Linked DNA regions of Danio rerio. The protein of the gene in region 4 interacts with the protein of the main gene of each other region in a pairwise test. Links are inferred from orthologs where the notes say so. Each region holds a gene or a part of one and is shown on either strand. Other genes may lie near its edges.

Region 1 (3,500 bases), on a different chromosome or scaffold from region 4:
ATATGCTTAAAGTCCCAAAGAAATCAAAACCAACCATATGATTTTGTTAGCTCACATTGGCAGTTTTGTGGTGAACAATTCATCTGTGCATGACATTAAGAAAATAAAAATAGTTTGCCCTTCTAATCTTTAATTGAAATCTGAAACTACATTTTTTTTCAGTTAAATTGTCAGATTAGATATATATTAGGTATTGAGCGTGGCTAATATATTAAACCACACATCTCCAGCTCTCAGTTTTGACAACAAACTAAAATGGTGATCATCACAACACAAAAAAAAAAACACAGTTTGCAGCTTCTGGTTCATTGGGACTTTAAAAATAGCCTTTTAACCTCTGTTGGGATAACTTTTTAACATGAAAACAAAAATAACATGAAAACTGACATTTAGATATCATGTTGCATACAAGAACTATTTTATTTGCAAACAAGCAATACATTTATACAAAACAACCTCACTGCACACACGCTGCATGAACAGATTTCTCGCAGGTCTCATTCCGTCTCATCATTAATAGTGTGCTCATCTTCTTTATGAAAGACTGGCAGCAGATCTCCCCAGTCGCTGTTACGAGCACATCTGTACATGTCCCTGTTAAAATAGACAATACAAATTCCTTAAGCCAACTACCAGAATGAACTGCACCTGCATAACCTGTTAGAATCAATACAAGTCAAGGTCATTCACTGAAAATCTAAATAGCAGAGATCTATTATAGGAAAGCGTCCCATACTTTCCATGACGACGGGCCGTCACAGCCAGTTGTTTGAGTTCTCCATTTACGCAGCACAGCTGGCACTGAACGTGTCTGGGTCGGCGATGGACTTGTGCGATCACTCTAGCCATGTCCCAATGTTCAGCCTTCTGAGCCTTCTCTCCATCTGAACGGGATACAATCAGGTAACTAAACCTCTCCTGCTGCCTTTCCTGGCTCTGTGACAGTTGATTCATATAAAGGGATAAAGAAAAGAGGAATGTTATAAAGGCCTAGTTCTCCCAAAAATGTGTATTGATCTTTATGTGACACGAAAAATGTGTCCCATTCTCTCATGAATGCATTTACGTGGAACCTGGTTATGTTTAATAAGATATCAGTGTATCGCCAGGAGCCATAGGTATCGATGTAGTTTGGCCTATATACATTTTTTAATGTTTTGAAGTGAGATTTGGGACATTTGAAACCACATTGCTGGAAAAAGAGCTAGAGCCACTCTTAGACACATGTCAGTTTGCCTATAGGCAGAACAGGAGCACTGAGGATGCCGCTCTTAGCATTATTGTTCATCTTGTGTCCAAGCATCTTGAAAATACTAAAGCTTATGCTCATATTTTATTTGTTGATTTTAGTTCAGCATTTAATACAGTGCAGACACATCTGCTTTTAGAGAAGTCGCATTACATGGCTGTCAGTACTTTCTGAATTATATTGTTTAATTCTTTTTAAAGTAACAGTGCTCAGCAGGTCTGGGTCAATGGGATACTTTCTGAGGTTAGATATAGAAATACAGGAGTGCCACAAGGTTGTGTTTCATCGCCTGTCCTTTTTGCTTTGTACACAAATGATTGCAGAAGCACACATTTTATTATTTATATTATGAAATATGCTGATGATACTGCCATCCTAAGTCTTTTACACAAAGACATGGACCTTTCATACTACCACAGTGAAATCGCTAATTTCGTTCAGTGATGTGACAAGAACTGTCTTGTGTTAAATGTAAAAAAGACACAAGAAATGGTCCTTGACCAATGAAGTGTATCTGAACTTAGGCCTGTGATCATTAAAGACACAGTGATACAGCAAGTTACATCTTACAGATATCTGAGGTTCTATATGGACAGTGTTTTTTTGTTGGAGAACACACACTGACAGCTTGTGCACACAACTACAACAGAGGCTTTATTTTTTAAGAATGCTGATTGTATGGGGTAGGTAGCAATATCTTGTTTATTTTTTACCGAGCTATGTTTGAAAGTCTTATTTGCAATGGAATCACAGTCTGGTTTGGAAATCTTTCTGTTCGATTTAAAAATGAATTGGGTTATATTTAAAAAGCAGCCATGAAAATGATAGGAATGCAACAATATGAGCCCATACAGACTCTATATGATCAGGCGGTCATGAGAAGAGCAATAAATATTAGTGCTGATTCCAAACATCCTCTTTTCAGTGAATATCAGCTGCTATCTTCAGGAAAAAGACTGAGAATGCCAATGCGTAAAACCAATAGATTAACGCTTTCGTTTGTTCCTACCTCGATAAAACTCTACCAAGAACAGAGCACCTGTAGTACGTTAACTGTGTTCTGTGCTTTATATATTATATATTTATATATGGTCTTATTTTGTAAACAATGTATGTTCTTAATTGTTTTTGCTTAATTCTTTTGTTTGTTTTATTTTGTTGTCTGCTTAGAGCAACGTTGTAGCACCTTTTTCCTTTTTTTTGTTTAAACTCGATCCTATCCTATCCTACTTATTTTTTCATAAACTATCATCGTAAAGTGATAGTTCCCCCAAAAATTGTCATCATTTACTCATCTTTTACTTGCTCCAAAACTGTTTGATTAACCAGTGACTTGCATAGTGTTTGTTTCAATGATCAAATGATTCATTGAGTCAATGATTAAAGGCTTTCAGCGCTCTTCAAAATATCGTCATTTGTGTTCAACAGAAGAAAGAAACTCATTTATAACCATTTGAGGGGGAGTAAATGTTAAGTAAACTTTCATTTTTGGGTGAACTATCTCTTTAACTACTGTCTAAATACCTCAAATATGTCCATGCCATGATAACAACTGAACTGAAATTCAGTCATTCGAGGTGATTGTCACAATTCAGAAACTAAATTTGTGGACTTACCCGTGATAGAGGCAGAGAGTAGTAGAACTGGAAGAAGTTACAAGGTACCACAGGTTGCCTGATTAACTTAGGACACTTCAGCTCGTGCGTGCACTGTCCAAATTGAAACCATACAGATGACAATGTCAGCATAAAACATTTTAATATATCTTATTAAAGATGAAAAAATAAGAATAAACTTCAGAAATAAGTTATTTTGATGTTTTAACGCACAGGAGCAAATATAGATGGTCTCCTCGGGTCATGCAGTATCTCATCTTCTCTCTACAATAGAAAAATCAGACACGTTTAGGTACTTCTGAAGGATGCATAGGTTGTATTACTACTATTCAAATGGAAAGTCATGTTTTAACAACAAAAAAATATCAGTTTAACCTTTAGTATAGCATCTCTGGCCTCCATAAGGATTTGATGACCTTCCTTGGTTCCATTCTCCACCAACACCTGTACAAAATACCAAGAACTGCATTAAGAATGATAACAATTACAATAGTTTACACATCATTTAAGTAGAAAAGGGTTTTCCCCCCAGATTTCAATAAACAAATTATTTTAAATAGGTATTTTGCCATAGTATTTTTTTTAATACTAGTAAGCCATAGTAACTGCATATTAACCAAGGGATTGCTTTATGA
Region 2 (3,500 bases), on a different chromosome or scaffold from region 4:
AAAAAAAAATTTAATATTTTACTCGGGTTCATATTAAATCTGTATCACTTTTTTCGGAAACACAAGATTAGATTATTTTTCTCCATACAGTAGCAGTCAGGATGGCTTAATGTTATTTAGCATGAGTCATACTACTTCAAAACTACAATACATGAATGTGACTGATGATATTTTTATTTCTGGGTGAACTGTTTCTTTAAGAGTCCTAATGACGACAGTGCTGAACTGCATGTCTTACTGCGAAGGGCCTCAGCAGTGGGGGCTCAATGGGGAGAGCAGCTTGGGGATAAATGACTGGATCTGGTTGGGAGACCCCAGGGACTGGGATTTAACGCCCAGGAAATAATCATGTTTAATTTAGCAAGCAGATGGCTCAGAGATAGGAGGCAAAACAGATCCTTAGACCTGCGGTTCTGCCACTTAGCTGCCTGGGGTGAGTTGAAGGTCCATACATGCACTCATACACAACGTTTTATCACTCAACTTAGAAAATGGGAGACACGTCACATTTATGTAAACAAGTGCAACTTCACCTTTCTAAACATAAACAACCGCTAAAAGATGCCACTCCAAGCTATTTGCACGAGTGGGATTTAATTGGAACACACAGAGTCTTGGTCGCTACACTGCGATGAGGAAAGAACAAGCACTTTATCTTCTGGAACAGCCTCAAAGAAAACATCATTTACAAGCTAAAAAAAAGTATTATCTTCTAACCCTGCAAGTTAGCAGATAAACGCAACAGGGAGAGGACAGGGCCAGGAACGAGACAGGCAGGGTGGCAATCATTGGCTGTTAGATGAGGGTGTACTTTTCTGAATGTCATGCAGCCTGAGGTGTAACAAGCCCTTTCTGCTTTGGCAGCACTTTGACTGGAGCGTGTTCTTACCTCAGGTAGTCCCTGCGACAGAGGATGAGATTGGCTTTGGTGTAGAGGGTGGAGCCCACCTCCCCCAGGCGGCAGTCACAGCAGGCACATTTCAGGCAGTCTTCGTGCCAGTATTTGTCCAGGGCCTTGAGCAGGTAGCGGTCTTTAATCTTACGGTTGCAGCCGGCGCATCCCTTCTGTTTTCCTTTGGGCTGGACGGAGAGCATCGGCACACCTGTGGCGATAGGGAGACAAACACAGAGAGCGTTGTGATTTACTGCCTGGCTAAACCGGCGACTTTTCATGTTCCGCGCTCTTTGATAAGGGTGGCGACACCGCTGAAGCTCGGCCCGCTGTTTCATATGCATTAGCCATGGATGCTCTTCCTGGCAGATAGGCGCGTAGGTCACTTTGGACTGTGTTCATCTGTTACTGCCCCCGTTCAAAAGAACAGATGTTATTTTTGGCCAGTGGCATGCACCCGTTTAATGGGGGTTTGAATGCATCTCTATGTCAGGATGCCCTAGGACCATCTCTATTTAGATAGCTGACAGAGGTATTTATGTTGTTTGGAAGATTACCCATGGCCCTATTTCATCAGCATGAGAACTGTTGGCCATGCTAAAAGCCTCCCGTGGGCTTTGTTTGGTATAGATCAACATTAACCTTTTAGAGCACTGTTGACCACAAGAAGGCTGCTCTCAGCTTCCAGTGAGATACGCTATGGCCTAAGTGCCTTCCAGACACACGCACACACACACACACACACACACACACACACACACACACACACACACACACACACACACACACACACATACTCTAAAGCCTGATCTCCTTTTACACTCGCGCTCGCTGCATTGCGACTAGCGAAGAGTAACCAAACCGGCTAAATTGCCGCGCTGTCATGTAGCCTCCCCCCTTTAAGCATGCCTTTTAGCCTCCTAAAGGACAAATAAAGTCCATTTAATAACTGCACTAAACACTAATAGTCTATCTGCGGTCTGACATTTGTGTGTGGACTAAAAGCCGCCCCCGGGCCAGAGCTGGTAACACTGGCACTCGGCACCCCTCTGCCAGCACTAACAGGTCTGCCACAGCTGAAAGCGCAGGACAACAGCTCTTAAGACACTCTCTCCCACACTGAGCTATTGATCCGTCTAATAGAACGCACAGCTAAACCGGCACTCTCCCTCTCTCTATACCTCTCTTTTGCTCTCTGCTTTCAAAACACATTTCTCTCAGAAAGCCCTGTGTGATGCCCCCTTTGACACCCCTCCCTCGTGCCTCCTCCCCCCGTCATTCAGCAATATATCGGGCCCCGGATGGTCAAACCATTAAAAGCCCCCAGTCCTGAATGGAGTCAGACCTGTCTGGACAGAGGGCTTTTCATTCAAGCATTAGCCATTTTACAGTTGTATAGTACAGAAAAGTGTAGAAATACTCTCCACGCAAACAGTTAAATGATAAAAAAATATATATATAATTTTAAAGTATGGCTGCATAGGCAAGGCAAGTTTATTTATATAGCAAATTTCATACACAGTGGCAATTCAAAGTGCTTTACATAAACCGAAATAAAAGAGACAAGTATAAATAAAATAGAAACAAATAATATAAAAACAGACGCAAACCGTGTGGAGACAGTTTTTCCATATTCCACAACCCCGGTGTATCATATTTTTTCATTTTACTCTAGGACTTCCCTTTTCTGGTGATCACTCCCTTCTTAGGAGTACATCGCTTTAGCTAGCCAATCGTAATAAAAGGTCTTGATCTCAGCCAGATACCAGAAACGGCCCCTGTGCACAAGGGGACGATCACAGCAAACACGCTTTGTGCATTGAGAGGGGCATCTTTTGAATGGTTTACTAAAGACTGTGAGCGTTTTGTGGCACCTTGCGCACATTGTATTTTTGCCGTTGCGTTCTGTGTGCCCGCAATTGAAAAAACTCTGAGTGGAAAAAGCGTGTTACGTCAGTTGCGTCTTTTCCATTTTTCAATCAAATGAAAGCAGAGGCGGGGTTTCCGTTGATTAAATGCATATTTTTCATAAAGAGTGATAAGTCTAAAGACATGTGGTATAGGTGAATTGGGTAAGCTAAGTTGTTCGTAGTGTATGTGTGTGGATGAGAAGTTATGGGTGTTTTCCAGTGATGGGTTGCAGCTGGAAGAGCATCTGCTGCGTAAAACATATGCTGGATAAGTTGGTGGTTCATTCCACTGTGGCGACCCCTGATTAATAAAGGAACTAAGCCAAAAAAAAATGAATGAATGTTTTCTGTGCTGTTTGAAACACTGCAGGTGATGTGCTGTTGTTAATATGTTCTGTATGCTGTTGTTCACATGTTCAAATAAATCTGTTTTTTTATGCAATATCTATAATGTCAGACACAAAATAGACTCGTCCATTATTATTTTTAATTAAATAATAATTCAATATTAATCTGACCAGGTAATATTCGGTTAACCAGCGGCAGTTGTGAGTTGGCAAAATTTACCGAATGAGCATCCCTAATGTACATGAAATCAAAATGTTGTCAGAAATGACTACAAAGATTCTATTTTGACACTGAGGTCCAGGGTTTTCAGTGTATGGACAACAACTTCCCTCCAAGAAAAGTTGTCAACA
Region 3 (3,500 bases), on a different chromosome or scaffold from region 4:
ATGATATGAATCACTGTAAGAGTCTTTTCATAAACTTACTCAGTAATTTATTGCTTGTTGTGAACAATTCATCTTTTTTATTACTCAACAGATATAGCAAATATTTTGTGACTTATATATTATCATAAACATTTTCTACAGAACATCCATGTCCCCAACATTTAAATCACCTTTTCTTTTCTTTGTATATAAAATTGTACAAGCATATTAAATTGATAGTAGGTTAACTGATCTATAAATTTACATATGTAAATATTTTATATTTTCAGAAAAATATTAGTGTAGACAAGCTCACTGGCCACTTTATTAGGCACATATTACTACTACCGCACTGGACCCACTTTTGCCTTCAGAGCTGCCTTAATCCTTCATGGCATAGATTCAACAAGGTACTGGAAATATTCCTTAGAGATTTTGGTTCATATTGACATGATAGCTCATGCAGTTGCTGCAAATTTGTCGGCTGCACATCCATGATGCAAATCTCCCGTTCCACCACATCCCAAAGCTGCTCTATTAGATTGAGATCTGTGACTGTGGAGGCCAGTTGAGTACAGTGAACTAATTGTCATGTTCAAGAAAATAGTCTGAGATGATTTATGACATGGCGCGTTATCCTGCTGGAAGTAGACATTAGAAGATGGGTACACTGTGGTCATAAAGGGATGGACATGGTCAGCAGCAATAATTAAGTAGGCTGTGGCGTCGACACGATGCTCAATTGGTACTAATGAGCCCAAAGTGTGCCAAGAAAATATCCCCTACACCATTACCCCACCACCACCAGGCTGAACCATTGATGCAAGGCAAGATGGATCCATGCTTTCATGTTGTTGACGCCAAATTCTGACCCTACCATATGAATGTTGCTGCAGAAATGTTGCTGTGAGCCTGTGTGAATTGTAGCCTCACTTTCCTGTTCTTAGCTGACAGGAATAGCACTCGATGTGGTCTTCGGCTGATGTAGCCCATCCGCCTCAAGGTTGGATGTGTTTTGTGTTCAGAGATGCCCTTTTGCGTACCTCAGTTGTAATGAGTGGTTATTGTTGCATTTCTATCAGCTGGAGCCAGTCTGGCCATTCTCCTCTGACCTCTGACATCAACAAGGCATTTGTGCCCAAAGAACTGCCACTTACTGGATATTTTCTCTTTTTTGGACCATTCTCTGTAAACCCTACAGATGGTTGTGTGTTAAAATCCCAGTAGATCTGCAGTTTCTGAAATATTCAGACCAGCCCGTCTGGCACCAACACCTTTCTCCTCCTTCTGATGCTTGGTTTGAACTGCAGCAGATCATCTTGACTGTGTCTACAGGTCTAAGGGCATTGAGTTGCTGCCATGTGATTGGCTGATTAGAAATTTGTGTTAACGAGCTGTTGGACAGGTGTACTTAATAAAGTGGCTGGTGAGAATATACAGGTACCTGTTTGTGTCTATCATATAATTTTTTAGCTATCAATAACAATAATCAAAATACTTATCTTTTTCTTCATTATACAATTTTTAAGCAGTGCTCACAATAAATATTCATACATATAAATTAATAAATAACATATAAACAAACAAATATAATAAAAATATTTCTACTTCTGAGATCTTGTCTTTTTCTTTAATGCTACGCACGATTCTTTTACATAGATAGTTATCACATAAGGACTATTAAAGTACTTAATTTTCATTTTCAATCAAATTCGATATATGACATCAAATGCAAAGCTCCAATTATTTGTATTTGTCTCTAATTAGAACATGATGACGGATACTGTACAGGAAGTGACCTCACTGAAGACCCAATTACAAGAAGTAATTTCAGAGAGAGATGAGCTGAGAAATCAGCTGAGGTCAGTATTAAAAGCATGCTGCTGTTTTTAAATGAGAAATAATTTACAGGTCTGTTTATGTGATGCCACATTATTTGTGTTTGTCCAGTGTCCTGAACAGCTCATTGCTGGAACAGTCAGAGAGTGTGCAGAAACTGCGCACATACATTGGCAGCAACATCCCAGAGAAAAAAGAAGAGGAAGAGCTTAGACGCCAGATACAGGTACAGGGTGCATTGGAATGCCACCAGCTTATGTAAGTTGCGGTGCTTGCATTAATATTTTGTGTCATATTTGTGTATGTGTGCAGCATTTGGAGAAGGAAAAGGAAGCCATGTCTCTATCTGTCCAACTGCTGAATGTCAGAGTGAACGCAGCCAATGACATTCTAGCCATTCAGGAGAAAGAGCTAGGTGAACAGGTAGGGTTGCACACATGCAGAGATGTGTGTTTGGTGTTTGGATGTTTATTTAGTACATTTGGTGGTACTTCTACTATGTGTGTAGGTGCAGATGGACCCGTTGTGCTCCGGCAGTAAAGCTGGGCAGATGTTGAGTGTTTGGAGACAAAAGGTCTTTGTTCTGCTTGTTAAACTGCAAACCCAAGACTTACAACTCCACACGGAGAAAACACAGCTACATGACATGGTAATGTAAACACTGATCCAAGTAAATCTATGTAATTTCATAAGCATATTTAATTCAATTCACCTTCATTTGTATAGTGTTTTTACAATGTAGACTGTGTCAAAGCAGCTTCACATAAAAGATCAAAGTAAATTGAAATAGTGTAGTTCAGTTTTAGTAGTTCAGATCCCGAAACATGCAATCTAGTGGCGACAGTGGCGAGAAAAAAAAAACTTTACCAATTGGCGAAAGTGTAGAAAAAAAAACCTTGCCAGAACCTAGCTCAGATGGGCACGACCATTTCTCCTCTGGCAAAATGCCTTGTGCGGAGCTGCAGTCTAAGCGACGGAGTCTGGAAGGTGGGCCTCAGCAAAGACTCGTCTGTCCCTGGAGCATCACAAGAATCGGTCTCATGCTCTCCACTCCTCCATGACCACAACAGCAGCTGCTCAGGATACGGCCTGGTCCAGGATATGGAAACCTTAGAATCATATTTATACTTCTAACCACTAATGTCAATAGCTTGCTTTTTTTTATTTGCTCATACCCATAACCCTGCCCCCAAACCCACCCCCCCACCGTTTTTTTTTTTTTTGAGAAATTATTATTTTTATGCAATGAGCATGCATTGATAGGATTTAATAAATGGCTAAAAATACTTTTTATGTTTAGCAAGAATTAATTCAATTAATAAAGAATTTGTTCATCAAAAAAATTGAAAAATGTATAATGCTCCTGACACGTTAAGCAGATCCTTTGTTTTAAAAAATAAGAAGAGTGCTTAAGCAGCATATAAGGGTTTGATTTCTAAAAGATTATGTGACACAGAAGTTCCGAGTAATGACTTCTGAATCTGAAATCCAGAAATCCGTTCTGGAGGGCCGGTGTCCTGCAAAGTTTAGTTTCAACCCCAATCAGACACACCTGGGCTAGTTAATCAAGCTCTTACTAGGCTTTTTAGAAACATCCATGCAGGTGTGTTGAGGCAAGTTGGAGCCAAAATCTGCAGGACGTCGTCCCTCCAGGAAGGAGTTTGGACACCCCTGACATAAAT
Region 4 (4,005 bases):
AATAAACAACTAGTTTTTATAGAGATTGTGTCATGTCTTTTCTTTGACGCACGCGCTGAACAGCCTGTAGCCTAAATAATAGTTTAGATTTTATAACATATAATGTTTTATTACTTTAAATGTATAATGTTTTTTAATATTTATGGAATATATAAAATATATAGTTTATATAAATGCGCTCTGATCATTCAAGGATCATAATGCGTTGCATATTCTTCTTATTCTTCATTAGGCTTGATCCGTAAATTGTGTATTTTATAAACTGATCGTTTATAAGGATTAAGCTATTAATAACTGTAATTCCTCGAATGGAAAAGTCTTGATTAAAGAAAAAGAGAACTTAATTCGACATATGCATATAGTGCGCTTATTTCTGCGCGCATCGCGCGCTTTACCGAATTACCTTTTTTATTTTTATGCACTATAAATGCATCTGGCAGCACCGAAAAGAGCAAATGCCAAGTTATTAGCGCAGCGCACAGACAGCTAGCTCGTCTAGTCTGAACCAGGGGTTTTCAAACTATTCATTGCACACCGATCCCATTGCATTTTATTTAGGATAAACCACTTATTTAAAATTAATTAATTAAAAGGTGCGTACTCTCCAATACACCACTGTAGTGTCATAATATTTAATAATTATAATTAAGATAGACACCTGACCTCCATTTAATAAACAATTTATTTGCCATACTCTGTTAATTTGAAGTTTAAAGTTTAAATCATTTATGTTAAACTTAAATTATTTAAAAACTTAAAAAGACTTACATTTAGTCATTTAAGACATTTTAGGTCATAAGTTTACATACATTGACCGTTGCATTTAGTAGGCCTATTCTGGTCTAAATAAGCTTTTTGCATCTTAGGTGTTTACACACACAAATTAAGCAGTTTATACGTACATTTAATGTTACTTTGAAATTACTTTTGATGCAATAAATAATCCTAAATAGTTGAAAGTGTTAACATATTCTTGAAATGTAGTTATTTTATAACTATGAAATTTATTACTAAACAAAGTGAATCATTATGAATTTGCCAAGAAATAATCCACTTTACCACCGTAAAGCAATGCCCCACACTCACTAGAACGGTAGAACCTGGACTGTATGATATGTTCTGTATGTAAAATAGAGAAAATAAGCAAGATGCGCAGTCTCATGTAGCCTTAGTGAAATATAGCGCGTCACAGCAATGAACTAAAAATAAAACCACCCTTGAAATGCTGGCGATCTTAATTTTTTCAGCCTACACTGACTGAGAATAATGTTGCACTATTTAATTAACAAATAATTAGAATGTTTTTTTTTTCCTTCAACACATTCATCATTACTTTTGCCTGTGCAAGTTTTTTTGCGCGTGCTTGAGTGCGAAGGCATCTATTTTCAGGTGCAAGATGCCACTTTGGGTGGCACCAGCACACTCTGCCACACCTGTGGCTATGTCCCTGCTACAATAATAATAACAACAACAACGACAAAATAATAACAAAAAATAATAATAATAAGACAGGCCTACTTTGACGTTGCAATAAAAAAGTATTAATTATCAAATAAATATTTACAATAGGCTAAAGGCACATATTAAATTAAAATAGGAGAAAATCCAATAGAAACAGGTACCATTTATTATAGCCCCATGCAGGGTCCATTGTGTTCTTACAACCATTAAATAACTAAGTAAATAATAATAATAACAATACTGCTAATAATAGGCCTAATAATAATAATAATAATAATAATAATAATAATAATAATAATAATAAATTATTATTTTATACAGAGTAGGCTATTATTTAGGCCTACAATAGCTCTGAAACAATCATGTAAACCAGGTGCTGCTCGGAAATGGCTATCTTTGCTCTGCATCAGGTGCACAGCAGCAAGAAGCTTGGCAGTGAACTATGACCTTATTTTAATGACAAATGTCTAAGAATACTGCTGATTTACGTTTTTATTTAATTTATACATACGCAATGAATGTAAGCCTGCTAAATGTGTGTGGTTCAAATGATAGAATCTGTAAACTTAGTTAATATATATATAATTAAATAATAATAATTAAAAGCCTGCGTGTAAGGCTTTTATTTTGAGGGTGACGTCACGAGCGCAGATTTGGTTGACCAATTAGAGGAAAGTGGGCGTTTCAGCACCGCCTACATGTGTAAAATGAATTTTAAAGTCGTTTATCCGTTTTCCTACCCTAAACCAAAAAACGAAAATCCAGCCAAAATCTTGTTTTTTCGTTTTCTCGTGAGCAAAAGAAAAACGGAAAAACGGCAGTTTTCTCCATTTCCTTTATTCCGTTTGAAACTGGAAAAAAAATGAACAAAATGTACACGGACCATTTTTTGACTCATTATTTCGTTTTGGTTTTGTGTTTGTTTTAATATTTCGTTTTAAGTTAATAAGCAGAATAACAGATGAGTTTCCGTTTTTTCTGCCTACAGAATAAACAGAAAAACGAAATATTCATCGTTTTTCTGATGTTTCGTTTTCCGTAATAAAAGGAATAATCAAATGAACGGATGATACACGGACCCTGTTCTCGGATGACAAAAACTGATTAGTAACTTAGAGTGCGTGAAGCAAACGTTTCCCAGAAAAATCATGTTAGCTTAGCAATGCCACTCTGTTGTAAACAAAGACACATACCTTCCCTTAAATCAGGTATTGTCAATATTCCGTCATGGTCAACTCTGAAATAAACTATTGTGTTTAAAAATAACAGTGTGTAGACAGAATTACCTGAAAATGTGGTTTCTTGTTATAGACTTCAGCTTATCCGACAGTGACTTCCTGTTGGGACCGGAAGCAGAGCAGTGACATCAGAGTGACGCAGAGGTCAGAAACCCTCTCTCACAGCCATCTTGGATCCTGTGCCCTGAACTAGTGAGTACTCCTGCGTAAAATCTATTGTCATCCAACGTTGCTTTAGCCAATTCAATACATAATTTGTAGCTTATGCTGATGCTTTAGTGTAGCTGTGTTTGGAATGGTAAAGATTTGTAAATTTGCTTGGCTTATTGAGGAAATATGTTGATGATTACAACTGGCTGACTGTTCAAAATGGGGGAGCGAGACGCACCACCGCTCGCTATACTTCAGCCGTGGGCTTTGTGTCTAACGAAAATGTTAACCCTGCAAAAAGTTGCACTATATACAACTATAGCGATATATTGTGAGAAATCTGTAATTTAATCGTACGAAAGGTTGTTGCGTGACGTGCGACAATAAACACTGGCTGGATAGTTAACTTCGCTGCCTAAACATGTAACGTTTCTAAAAACGCATGCTGTGTCAACAGTATAACCTAACGTTACATTATAAAGGATTATAAACTCATTTCTTTAAAAAAGTTTTATTGTAATTTGTGTAATGAGGTTCTTTCATTCAGCAGTAACGTGTCAGAGCTCCTCTGTTAAGATACACACGTGAAATGTGCAACACAGTGCACGCGCACACATGAACAGTGTGTGGAACTGTTTGGGGACGTTATAAGCCTTATTTGTTCAGTTTGCCTGTTTGCAATTGATAAAGCTCACAAATTCTGTTCGGTGGCCTTGTGAAATGTTATCATGTAGCTCAATACTTTGAGACAACAGCAGTGTTTAACTGAGCCGGTAGTGGGACAGCTGACAGCCAGCAGAGGCCTACAGGAAGAGGCCTAGAGTGCTGCTGTTTCAATAGAAAAAGCCTCATTAACACAAAGCACTGACTAACGCATGTCTAAACCTTCATGCAGACTTTGTAAAGCTTATAATGTATTGTTTCTCATTTCTGTTTTAGTCCAGAATGCCAGGCGAAGCCACAGAAACTGTCCCTGTTACAGAGCAGGAGATGCAGCAGCCCCAGGCTGAGACGGGTTAGTACTGCTTTTAAAAGTGCATGTCTGATACTAAACACTGGTTGTCTAGGTGGTCCTGGAAATATTGTTTATTGTACTGGTTATTATCAAAATGTTGCTTATTCTATTCAGGGTGTTTTTGCACCTGTTTTAGCCTTT
Region 5 (3,998 bases), on a different chromosome or scaffold from region 4:
ACACAGATCATCCTCTGCAGCTGCCGGTGAGTACACACACATCAACACAGGTCTGATGCGTTAAACACACACCCAGAGGACATCACGTCAAAATCTGATCTCATGATCATACAGAATCAACTTACACTCTCCATTACCCTGTAACGTTTCCTGGTGGGGTGATAAATGCTCAGGAGCTGATGAAACCGTGTGATTAGCAGTGGTGTTGGGTGGTTTTTCCTCTTCCTCCATGAAGATCTGATAATTTTAGCTCTCTGTAAGGAAATCTAATATGCAAAAATAAGAAATATTATGTGCCCATATTGAAAAAAATCACTTTAAACACAGTTGTTTGTGAATATAAGCAGCTTACAATGATAAAAAATGTATTAATTGTAATTATTATAATCGCACTTGATGAAAGCAGTCTGCAGAAACACTTTGATTGACATGCTCCCTTTGTACGTGTCATCAGAGGAAAGCCCCGCCCACTAGTGACCATCTCTCCCTTATAAGAATATGACATCAGTCTTGTATTTGAATCTGCCACTATGCTGACACACAGGCATTTATAGCTCCGCCCTCTTTTGAAAAGAGCACAATCTCATTTGCATTTAAAGTGACAGTCACTAAAACACACTTAGGATCAAAGCCTAAAAGGGTCAGTTTCCGAGAGTTATCACCATTATTAGTGTGGTATTTTGAGCTGAAACCTCACACACACACACATACACACACACACACACTAGAGACATCAGAGACTTGTTTTACATCTTGTAAAAATAGGACCCTTTTAAGCATTTCCTCAAGAAAAATGTTAGTCCGCTCAACAACACAATAATAATAATTCATTCAGTACTTTCTGATGCAATAAAAGTTAAACTTACACATTACATTAGTTCCATGCGGTGAAAGGTAAAGTGCCGCACTTCCTCAGGAAGTTGGGCAAAATTAGATCTCTAAAGGAAATGGTTTAAAGAAAATGTGGCAATGCTGTGCAGATGACAGAAAATACAACCACTGGCAATCTAGCATCACTCACTGCAACCAGAAATGCTTGTTTTACTTGTTTCTAGTAAATATCTACAAATTCTTAAATGAAGAAGTATTTAATAGACTAGAAAAGCTTATTTTTTTCTAGAAACAAACATATAAAGCATATACACTCACTGGCCACTTTATTAGGTACATTTTACTTGTACCGGGTTGGACCTTTTTGCCTTCAGAACTGCCTTAATCCTTTGTGTCATAGATTAAACAAGCTGCTGGAAATATTCCTCAGAGATTTTGCTCCATGTTGTCATGATAGCATCACACAGTTGCTGCAGATTTGTCGGCTGCACATCCATGATGCTGATCTCCCGTTCCACCACATCCCAAAGCTGCTCTATTGGATTGAGCTCTGGTGACTGTGGAGGCCATTTGAGTACAGTGAACTCATCGTCATGTTCAAGAAACCAGTCTGAGATGATTGAGCTTTATGACATGGTGTGTTATCCTGCTGGAAGTAGCCATCAGAAGATGGAGACACTGTGCTCATAAAGGGATGGACATGGTCAGCAACAATACTCAGGTAGGCTGTGGTGTTGAATTGGTACTAATGGACCCAAAGAAAACCTCCCCCACACCATTACACCACCACCACCAGTCTGAACAGCTGATACAAGGCAGGATGATCCATGCTTTCATGTTGTTGAGGCCAAATTCTGAGCCGAGCATCTGAATGCTGCAGCAGAAATGGAGACTCATCAGAGCAGCAACGTTTCTCCAATCTTCTATTGTGCAGTTTTGGTGAGCCTGTGTGAATTGTAGCCTCAGTTTCCTGTTCTTAGCTGACAGGAGCGGCACCCGGTGTGGTCTTCTGCTGCTGTAGCCCATCCGCCTCAAGGTTGGACGTGTTGTGTGTTCAGAGATGCTCTTCTGCAGACCTCGGTTGTAGCGAGTGCTTATTTGAGTTACTGTTGCCTTTCTATCAGCTGGAACCAGTCTGGCCATTCTCCTCTGACCTCCGGCATCAACAAGACATTTGCACCCACAGAACTGATTCTCCAGCAGGATAGCGCTCCTTCTCATACTTCAGCCTCCACATCAAAGCTCCTCAAAGCAAAGAAGGTCAAGCTGCTCCAGGATTAGCCAGCCCGGTCACCAGACATGAACATTATTGAGCATGTCTGGGGTAACATGAAGGAGGAGGCATTGAAGATGCTTCCAAATAATCTTGATGAGCTCTGGAAGTCCTGCAAGAACGCTTTCTTTGCCATTCCAGATGACTTTATTAATCAGTGATTTGAGTCATGTCAGAGATGTATGGATGCAGTCCTCCAAGCTCATGATGGAGTCAGACACAATATTCATTCTGTCTCCACTGCAGCAGGACTTTATATTCTATACTGGACATTATTCCTGATCTAGACTTTTGTTTAAGCAAAGTCATCTTTCTATCCTAATGAAATCATTCAAAATCAAGGCATGATCATCTTTTATTGTGGTATAATAAGTGTCATCTAGAGGCCTTTGCCTTTCATTTAAGCCACTTCTGATACTAAATGATCAACTAGAAAGTCATCCAAATTTGACATATTTCTGAAAACAAAACTATATTTTTTTTTTACCAGAAAACAAGTCTTGATTTAAGAAACAAAAGAACAACTTTAAGAAAAGTGTTTATATTACAGCACAACACACTGGTAATATTAAAAAACAACTGACTCACCTGTGCACACAGACATCGAATAATCTGCTGAAGTTGAAAGTGTAAGTTCACTTGTGTCTCTATAAGAGGTCATGTTTACTGTTCCTGCTTCTGTTTTTCATGCTGACTGAAGCTGAAGTTTGGTCATGAGGAAGTGAAACCTGAAAGAGGGAGTGTTGTTTTCACGCACATTTGACTGCACTTTGTACATTTTTCATTGGTTTTTGTGCAATAATTTACACTCTGGATACAATAGGGAAATGATGACATACTCATGTTATATTAGGCACATTGTGTTACTATTGTGCCTATTACACCATATACTGCTTTAGTTTGAACAGTATATTTCATTTATAGCATGTTAAACAGTTTATCAAGGGTGTTTTACATTTACTCATCACTGTTACAGCGTCCTTCACACCGTAAACCACCAAAGTATGGCTTTGGTTTCATACATGTAAATCTCAAAGGTGTCCAGTAGATGGCGCTGTAGAGTAAATTACTATAATGTAAATGGCAGGATATGTCAAGCACTTGTTTATGGACTATATTTTACTCACTGAATATATACAAGGTAAGTTTATTAGCAAATAGCAATATGTATTTGAAAGCCAACTAAATCAATTACGGAGTGAATCTGTCAATTGTAATGAAGGCCGAATTAAATGTAATTAATTAAACTTCAACTTCAAAAAGCGTTCCTTGATAAGCCTTGATAGGCTGAAGTAGTAACACCTACTTAAAAAAAAGAAAAATAAAGCTAATTAAATATATCAATATTCTATCAATCATATTAATATTGTTATATTTAATTATTAATAATAAACACTATAAAATAATACTAACAAAGATCAAGATCCGATCAAGGTTTTTTGTGCCTTTTTGTGAATTAAATGGGCCTCAACATTCTAGCAGTGTGCTTAAATATGCTTTTAACATCTGCTAAAACATTGTTAGCAACATAATGCTAGCAACATGCAAGTAAAATGTTACCAATATGCTAAAACTTGCTAATAACACACAAGCAATGAGCTAAAACATGCTAAAACACACTGTTAATGTGCTAAACATGTTAAAACATATTAGCAATGTGCCAAACATGCTAACAACACCAGCAACATGCAAGAACATGTTACCAAAATTCTAAAACATGTTAATATTGTTAATAGAAATTAGCTAAAACACACCAGCAATGAGCTAAGCATGCTAGCAACACCAGCAGCATGCAAGAACATGTTACCAATGTGCTAAAACATGCTAAATAACAATGGCAAAATGCTAAACATGCTAATAACACACCAGCAATAAGCTAAAACATGCTAAAACA
Region 6 (3,500 bases), on a different chromosome or scaffold from region 4:
AGTAAGATCTGACAAGTGTCTTTCACACATATTCAGATGTAGAACGCAGGGAAAGCACCGCATAGAAAGACACTGCAGCGCTGCTGAAAATTGTGGGTGTTTACAGCGGTTTGATGGAAAAATATGAATTTGTAGCTGAATAGTTAATAATGCCAAACAGCATTTCCTGTTGTTACATCCTTGTTTACGTTCTTGCTGTAACATACCCTTAACGCTTGAAACAATGCATATAATTGATCAATTTTAACAAATAAAAACACTTACAGGTTGTGGCTAACAATTCAAAGCAACCCACAAATGCTAGCTATATATTTTTTTAATTCTCTGGAACATAATTAAAATAAACTGTAAGAACTTCTCTCTTTGTGTCGTGTCCTTTAGTAGCCCAAATACAGGAACAGAACAAGCTGCCTGGTAAAGCAGTGTTTGGACGGCATTTTAGCTTTCTCTGCTATAACATTACAATGCCTTTGGCCACGTGCCTTCACTGCGCAGAGTGCAGTGGTGCGTAAACTGAAGTGTTTGTGATCTCACTAGCCTGGATGTATTTTTTGTAGTCCTCAAACTTTGTTCGCTGTAGGCTTTGCTAAGCTAACTCTGTAAAAGCCAATGTCTCCCCTTTGCATTGAACTTTCAGTGTATTTCATTCAGAGATGTTGTTTATGTTCACACATCAACTAAAGTTTAAAGTATGACATCGTACCACCCCTTTAAATAAATTCTGCTGTTTATTTTTTCTAAAACATTGTGCTGACTCTTTACTCTGGGGCTGAAGATTGAAGTGTGTTCTCCATGTTTTCCTTTTTTTGTTATAATTCAATGTTATTTACCAACAATTTTAGTCTTCTTTGTAACACCTCCGAACAAAACCCCTAGACATAAAAGAAGGTCTTCACAATGGTATGCAAAATTCCACACCCAGGTAAGAAAGTGATAGCCACTTGATGCCTAAAAGGTTGCCAGCCTCTGCTATACACACACCTGGCTGAGAGGTGAAGTGACTGTGAACTGCATAGCCTTGCTGCTGATGGGGCAGGTACTGCATGGTCTGGAATGCTGATGCACCTTAAAACAGAAAGACATAACATCCCAAATTCATACCATGTTCTCATAAAACAACAACAAAAACATAAATAATACAAGCAAGGCACCTCTTAGTTGTGAACTACTGGCATAGTTGGCTGGCACAGGCTGACTGGAGGCAAAAGGTGATGTATGCTGCGTCTGGGTGACTCCATACGGGCTGTGACCTGGCTGCGCTCCCGAATATTGGCCGTGCTCTGATCCACCTGCACTAAATCCTGGCTGAGACTGGAAATGACGTGCCTTGGGCAGCAGTAGGAGATGAGCACACAGATCGACAATAACATAAAACAACTGTGAGATTAAACTGAACCAGGTGACTCTCGATACTAAATGTATATAGGTTTGAACATTGCAGGTACAAACAGTTTAGGCTACATTGACTCACAGGAATGACCGGAGACTGGAAGAGCTGTTTACTGCGTTCCCCAAGCAGAACAGCTGGACGGCCATGACTCACCTGACCCGCTGATGGGAAACAAGCATGGAGCAAAATCAAGTCATGGCATTTTAAAATAAATAAAACAAAGCAAATAGTCTAAATGACACTAAAGATGATAAATAAAGGTCACCTTGCATGCTAAGAATGTGCTGGCTAGGGTGGATAGGCATGTTTGCCTGGTATGTGGCTGAAGTCAGGGTTGTCATGTCACTGTAAACAAACAAAAGAATTGTATATTATTTGGTTGATTCATTTAAAAGTAACATGTCTTGCAGTTTAAAAAAGTGATTTAGAGCATTTTTAATTTCAGAAAAGTACAGTTCAGAATAACCAATGTTTAACCTGTTTTAGATCACAAGAAAGATGGACACTTGAATTATTTTAGAAGATTAGAACCTTTCCATGTTATTTATTTATTTTTATATAATAATTTTTTCAGGGTTTTCACCTTGATTTTTTTGATAGGACAGTAGAGAGCATAGGGAGCAGAGAGAGAGGAAGGATCGGCATAGGACTGCAAGGCGGAATCGAACCCGGGTCGCCGCGAGCACCGGAGTGCATGTGTCGACGCACTAACCACTACACCGCTGCGCCAACATGTTATTTTTTTATTAATTTATTTTTCTTTTCTTTCCTTTTATATAAGAGTAAAATGTTAGTAGTTTATTTTAATATTATTTATATATTTTTATACAACCTAAATGTATGTGTGCGACAGGTTTTGTTTGTTGTGTTTAAAATAGAAAAATTGAAAAGCTGCAGAGCATGGCAGAGTGTGTGTGGTTATGTGATGCATGTTTTCAGAGGTGAACTGTGGATGGGGATCATTTCAGAAACGCTAGGTGAAATGCCAGTGTAGATGCAGATCGTTTTCATTCTCATACGCTGTTTTAAAACTAAAATTCTTAAATTCTTGTGATTGTAAATATGGATTATTCCACCAAGTACTGATTTCATATCTATCTTGAAGTTAAAACACTGGTACTGTGTAGTCTGAAAGTACATGTGTAGTATGAAAATATGGCATCTTTCTTTTTTGTTTATACAAACCAAAGCACTAGCAGTTCACAAAATATAACAAAAATTACATATTTTACTCAAACGCAAAACTATACAATAAAAAAATTTAAAAAAATTTCAGTGTTCTCTTATTTTTTCTCCTTTGCTCTCCTCTGAAAATGTATATACATTTTTTTCTCAATTGCCCTCCAGTGAAATCTTTATTCTTATACAAGTATCTCCCAAGTGATGTTAAACAGAGTAAAAACATTTTTCAAAGTAATTCCTATTATATTTTTCTTCTGGAGAAAGTCTTAGTTTTTTTTTGTTTGACTGGGATTAAACTAAAACATTCAAACTGGTCAATATTCTCAATAAAAGGTCAATACTATTAGGCTATTAAAAATGTTGTTTTTATTGGCTACAGAACAAACCACTGTTTACCAATGACTTGTCTACTTAAGCCAAATTGCCTAATTAACCTAGTTAGGCCTTTAAATTGCACTTTAGAATTAATACAAGTATTTAGCAAAATAACTAGTGAAAATGTATTTACTGTAATCATGGCAAAACAACATTAAATTGGTTATTAAACTATTATGATTTAAAATGTGTTTGAGAAAATTAAACAGCTCTTGGAAAATATTTAAAAAGCAATTCCAATTTCACAAGTGGGCTAATAATTTTGCCTACAGCTGTATATAGTGTGTGTGTGTTTTTTTAAATATTTACCTCTGTTCTTTCCGACGTCTTTTCTCCTCTTCATGTAGAACTTTTTTCAGTTGTAAGAAAAGCTGGTGCTTCTCCTCTTGAAGGCCCTGCAGCTTCACTCCCATCTTCATAATCTAAAGACAGAACAAAAGAAATTAAGGCTTGCTGAGGACTCCTGAACAATAATCCTGCAACAATATCTGCAAATAACTCCCAATGTTTAAATGAGCCAATCATACAGACTTACTTGCTCTTTAGTCTCCTC
Region 7 (4,107 bases), on a different chromosome or scaffold from region 4:
GCAGAGATTGATTAAACTGCTCAAAAATGCTTTTTTTGATGAATAATTTGACTACTGGAGTTATTCAGCTTGGCCTTCATATAAACAAATTGTGTATCTATATATTGATCATCATTTACTGATTAATGTTTATAAGTTAAATAAGAACTCTTTAAAAAATACCCTATGAACAGAAGTATATCGAATTAAAGAAAAATATATTTTTAATAACAAACGATTTGTACATTCTGCCTATGGTTGATGAATTAGGACTCACCATAGCTGTTTATCCATATTTATTAATGGTGCTAAAAATGCATAGGAGCCTGAACAGCTCACAAAATTTGATAACATTTTCTTTTTCCAGCAATGGAAGATAACCAGGAAACAGAGTCAGACAAGAACTACCAGGACATCCTCCTGAGAAAGAAGCTGCTGGCCATCGCCAGAGCTCAGTCTGAAGAGCTGCTCCTGCTGAGAGCGGAGCTGGAGAAACTGCGCATGAAGAACTTCCCGTCTCTCTCGCAACTGCACTACAACTGACTCTACATACAAAACGCAACAACTTTACCTAAACAATAAACAACACACAAAGGTGCAATAAATTATTATACAGTTCAATCAATTGACAATCTTTCTTCGCAAACGTTTTAATGAACAAAGCTCGCTGCAATCTGTTTGAACTGTGAATAAAAATTGCTGAAATGTATTCACGTGTCTGTGAAGTCTTCCTCTGTCCTATCAAAGTGCAGTAGTTTATCATTAATCCCAAAGCTGTCAATAAGTTGTGAAAGACTGGCTTGTTTTCCACCTGTGGCCAGTTCTCTCTGTAGTTCATACAGCACAGACTGAGCACAGGATCTCCATTTGTCTGTGAGCCTCTGCAACTCATTCAAGTCATTCTGTGGAGAGAGAAAAACAGCTTCAAGAGCAGTATGCTTCGCTCACAAATAAATCATTTACTTACTTATGGTGATATTCATCAGAAGTACAAAATAAAAAGTATCGCTTTATATTAGACTCTGTCATTTAGTTTGTGGCATCTCAAAATACAATGTTTGCATGTAATCATTTTTCACCATTTGGATGAAACGTGAATATATTTTATATTATGGCTGCACGATACTGGAGAAAATATGCAATATGCGATGGTACTGTTGAGTGTTGCAATAACAATATTTCCTATGATATAACAAACTTTTTATTAGCAATTTTTTTGACAAAAATAATTTATTTACTCTACGATTATACTAAAATAGACAGGTATATGATTCTTTGAGCCAATTTTAAAAAAATGTGTCAAGGTTCAAACATTTAGACTTTAAAACACCTTGAATAACTGAAAACCACTGCTGGAGTTCTGATTCTCATTGGCTGCTGTCAATTTAATATCTTGTCTCCCAGCATTAATATTCACTTTCAGCTCTAGGTTCACCTACTGTAAAGGTGGGCATTAAGATAGTTAAGGCCTCTATGAAATACAAAAACATAAAAGTAATTTAATTTATTGCACTTCCCTGTGATATACATTTAGTCATTTGGCACACACTTTGGTCCAAAGTGACTTACAATTGAGGCAAATCATCAGTACGAGGCAGTACATACAGCACGGGCTAATTATACAAAGGAACAGTTAGTGCTTAGAGAATATAGCAAGAGAATATCAGCAAGAGATTTGGATATTGCATATACTATTACTGCAATAACAATGATTTTTCAATATATCTAAGCATATTGTTATGGTGTGCCTGCGATCATTAGTTTTTGAAAAGTGACTTATATTTCATTAATATTTATTTCAAGTTTCTACATTCTTCTCTCGTGTCCCTCGAGTTCTAAATTAAGGGATAAAATTTAAAAAACATATAGAATTTTTTAGTATAGAAATTAAAATAAAAACGTAATTTTAAAATTCCAAGTGGTCAATTTAGAAACTCCATTAATTTTCTAATTTTTTACAGAACTTACAAAAAGGCATATATACATATATCAACATATGAGATGACTTATATTATATTTTCATTATATTAGTTTTTTGTTGTTGTCTCCCAGCCATAATTTACGAATTTATATTTACCTTTTTCCTGTACATCTTGACCATCTTTAATCTCCTCAAGGTTTCTGTTCTCTCCTTCACCGCTTTTCTCAGCGCTTCGCATTGCTGACTGGGGAGCTCAGCTGTGTGGTTCGAGTCTCTCTGCAGCTTCATGTCATTCCTGTTGACATCAGTCTCTGTAACGTTAGAGTCTCTGTCGTCTTTGACACCGTGTTTCTCTTCTTCTCCCTGCTGTGAAGGCTGAGGCTCAGTGTCATCCTCTATTTTGAGTCGTTTTACCACACTGAGGGGAGACTTGAACGAGTGTCGAGATCTTTTTAGCTTCTCCCTCAGCGAGGCACTCATGGGCTGAAGAAAACAATGTCAACAATGATCAAAAGAAAGCTCAGACATGCAGCAGAATTATGTTTCGACGAAAAATAACATGTAAGAAAGAAAAAGTGATCTATCTTTTTCGCTAATGTTAGTTTATGTGAAAACAAATATCGTATAAAGTCAAAAAGACAATAAGCTTTACCTTTGCAGTACTGGACCTGTTTGAAGACTGCTCGGCGCTTGGCGTAGTTTCATCAGCTGCTGTTGGTTTTATCGGGGTTGTCTCCATGTTTTACAAGATACGAAAAGAAAAAAACGACTACATAACTTTATCATTTGTGATTTAGTACTCTCCAAAGCAGTTCTGTGCGAATATGATCTTCCATTTCTAAAGTTGTCAGTGAACACAGCTGTTTTGAAACTGGTGCCATTTGTTTCGTCGTCACTTCCGGGACCTTGTTGCGTCGTTGTTATTAACAAGACTCATGGGTAATGTAGTCTAAAAGAACTATTAGTGTATTTTGTTTGCTCTAAATTTAGTTATAATGAATTTAACTTATCTTAGTGGCCACATAAATAAAGGAAAGTTGCTGTCCTTTAATTTGTAGGGATTTCGTTATATGTATATTGAGTGTAGTCTTGTGAGACAACAGTTTCAATGCACAAACTAGCACAGTACAGCCATTTTATCTTTGTATAGCTTGCTGATTTAAGACATATTTTATACAGCGTGGTAGACAATTACATTATAAAACTGTAGGAAGAAACTGTAGCGGAGAGTGGGTAACAAAAGCATTGTTACATTTGATTTCCAGGCTATAACAGCACATTTAGCATGCAGCCCTTGATGGAGATGACAAATATCAGCTGATTTTGCGACCTTGTCCTGCAGTTTGGTCTAAATTTCAGTTTTGAAGTGGAAAAAGAAAATTAGTGTATGCTACTTTTTTCCTCATTACAAGTTGTGTTTCTCTTTTCATGTGTTACGGTAATGACCAATCTACAGGTTATTTAGTGCAATAACACATCCTTCAGTTTGCAATGTCTAAGTTTTTCAGTTTAAAAGTAAAGCAGGTTTAAATGGCAAGAGTTCCTGTGGCGACGAAAGTAACACTGTTATTTGTGTCCCACTGCTAATAGCCATGCCTTATTTTCACTTCCACGTTAGTGTTCAGTGTTTTGGCTCATATGCTTTATAAGATTGATGCATATTGCCAATAATAATTAAATAATCTTGAAAATTTGTATAAAATATTAACATTTTGCATTGTTGGATTGCTTTTGTAACATTTGATGGAACTGAAATTTAAAATGAAAATGCAGTTCAGTATTTTTTTGCCAAAAAAAAAAAAAAAAAGACAAGGATAGGCGTCACGGTGGCACAGTGGGTAGCATGATCGCCTCACAGCAAGAAGGTCGCTGATTAGAGCCTTGGCTGGGACATTTTTGTGTGGAGTTTGCATGTTCTCACCGTGTTGGTGTGGGTTTCCTCTGAGTGCTCCTGTTTCCCTCACAGTCTAAAGACATGTGGTACAGGTGAATGAATAAGCTAAATTGGCCGTTGTGTATGTGTGTGAATGCAAGAATGTATGGGTGTTTCCCAGTGTTGGGTTCCGGCTGGAAGGGCATTCGCTGTGTAAAAAAACATGTGCTGGAAATGTTGGTGGTTCATTCCACTGTGGCAACCCCTCAAGAATAATGGGACCAAGCCGAAAATGAAATGAAATGAATGAATGAATGAATGAATGAATGAACAA

Evidence for each region.
Region 1: the proteins of tfip11 (region 4) and mettl17 interact in binary tests that used the Homo sapiens proteins (3 or more experiments, as listed by UniProt). The link is inferred for Danio rerio from reciprocal best matches to the Homo sapiens genes TFIP11 and METTL17.
Region 2: the proteins of tfip11 (region 4) and lmo1 interact in binary tests that used the Homo sapiens proteins (3 or more experiments, as listed by UniProt). The two-hybrid records come from large-scale screens. The link is inferred for Danio rerio from reciprocal best matches to the Homo sapiens genes TFIP11 and LMO1.
Region 3: the proteins of tfip11 (region 4) and si:dkeyp-20g2.1 interact in binary tests that used the Homo sapiens proteins (3 or more experiments, as listed by UniProt). The link is inferred for Danio rerio from reciprocal best matches to the Homo sapiens genes TFIP11 and CCHCR1.
Region 5: the proteins of tfip11 (region 4) and snx20 interact in binary tests that used the Homo sapiens proteins (3 or more experiments, as listed by UniProt). The two-hybrid records come from large-scale screens. The link is inferred for Danio rerio from reciprocal best matches to the Homo sapiens genes TFIP11 and SNX20.
Region 6: the proteins of tfip11 (region 4) and gps2 interact in binary tests that used the Homo sapiens proteins (3 or more experiments, as listed by UniProt). The two-hybrid records come from large-scale screens. The link is inferred for Danio rerio from reciprocal best matches to the Homo sapiens genes TFIP11 and GPS2.
Region 7: the proteins of tfip11 (region 4) and sfr1 interact in binary tests that used the Homo sapiens proteins (3 or more experiments, as listed by UniProt). The two-hybrid records come from large-scale screens. The link is inferred for Danio rerio from reciprocal best matches to the Homo sapiens genes TFIP11 and SFR1.

What each region holds. Positions count from the first base shown.
Region 1 is NC_133177.1:40,850,728-40,854,227, forward strand, and holds the end of mettl17 (ribosome assembly protein METTL17, mitochondrial), read right to left. Parts: intron 3,310-3,500; coding exon 3,241-3,309; intron 3,130-3,240; coding exon 3,079-3,129; intron 2,959-3,078; coding exon 2,866-2,958; intron 937-2,865; coding exon 737-936; intron 595-736; coding exon 498-594; 3' UTR 397-497; downstream 1-396. UniProt on the Homo sapiens protein: Mitochondrial ribosome (mitoribosome) assembly factor. Binds at the interface of the head and body domains of the mitochondrial small ribosomal subunit (mt-SSU), occluding the mRNA channel and preventing compaction of the head domain towards the body.
Region 2 is NC_133182.1:28,158,742-28,162,241, forward strand, and holds part of lmo1 (rhombotin-1), read right to left. Parts: intron 1,104-3,500; coding exon 890-1,103; intron 1-889. UniProt on the Homo sapiens protein: May be involved in gene regulation within neural lineage cells potentially by direct DNA binding or by binding to other transcription factors.
Region 3 is NC_133180.1:24,151,352-24,154,851, reverse strand, and holds part of si:dkeyp-20g2.1 (coiled-coil alpha-helical rod protein 1), read left to right. Parts: intron 1-1,746; coding exon 1,747-1,841; intron 1,842-1,929; coding exon 1,930-2,044; intron 2,045-2,130; coding exon 2,131-2,241; intron 2,242-2,326; coding exon 2,327-2,467; intron 2,468-3,500. UniProt on the Homo sapiens protein: May be a regulator of keratinocyte proliferation or differentiation.
Region 4 is NC_133198.1:20,764,276-20,768,280, forward strand, and holds the start of tfip11 (tuftelin-interacting protein 11), read right to left. Parts: upstream 2,801-4,005; 5' UTR 2,748-2,800; exon of another isoform or gene 2,655-2,747; intron 1-2,654. UniProt on the Homo sapiens protein: Involved in pre-mRNA splicing, specifically in spliceosome disassembly during late-stage splicing events. Intron turnover seems to proceed through reactions in two lariat-intron associated complexes termed Intron Large (IL) and Intron Small (IS).
Region 5 is NC_133200.1:38,550,685-38,554,682, forward strand, and holds the start of snx20 (sorting nexin-20), read right to left. Parts: upstream 2,801-3,998; 5' UTR 2,693-2,800; intron 267-2,692; 5' UTR 232-266; coding exon 126-231; intron 27-125; exon of another isoform or gene 21-26; coding exon 1-20.
Region 6 is NC_133180.1:24,722,553-24,726,052, reverse strand, and holds part of gps2 (G protein pathway suppressor 2), read right to left. Parts: coding exon 3,483-3,500; intron 3,370-3,482; coding exon 3,257-3,369; intron 1,736-3,256; coding exon 1,656-1,735; intron 1,552-1,655; coding exon 1,472-1,551; intron 1,327-1,471; coding exon 1,152-1,326; intron 1,066-1,151; coding exon 982-1,065; intron 1-981. UniProt on the Homo sapiens protein: Key regulator of inflammation, lipid metabolism and mitochondrion homeostasis that acts by inhibiting the activity of the ubiquitin-conjugating enzyme UBE2N/Ubc13, thereby inhibiting 'Lys-63'-linked ubiquitination.
Region 7 is NC_133188.1:27,958,567-27,962,673, forward strand, and holds sfr1 (swi5-dependent recombination DNA repair protein 1 homolog), read right to left. Parts: upstream 2,801-4,107; 5' UTR 2,640-2,800; coding exon 2,553-2,639; intron 2,384-2,552; coding exon 2,057-2,383; intron 882-2,056; coding exon 694-881; coding exon of another isoform or gene 690-693; exon of another isoform or gene 551-689; coding exon 547-550; 3' UTR 523-546; coding exon of another isoform or gene 347-522; 3' UTR 261-346; downstream 1-260. Other genes in the region: cfap43 (cilia- and flagella-associated protein 43), read left to right, coding at 347-522. UniProt on the Homo sapiens protein: Component of the SWI5-SFR1 complex, a complex required for double-strand break repair via homologous recombination. Acts as a transcriptional modulator for ESR1.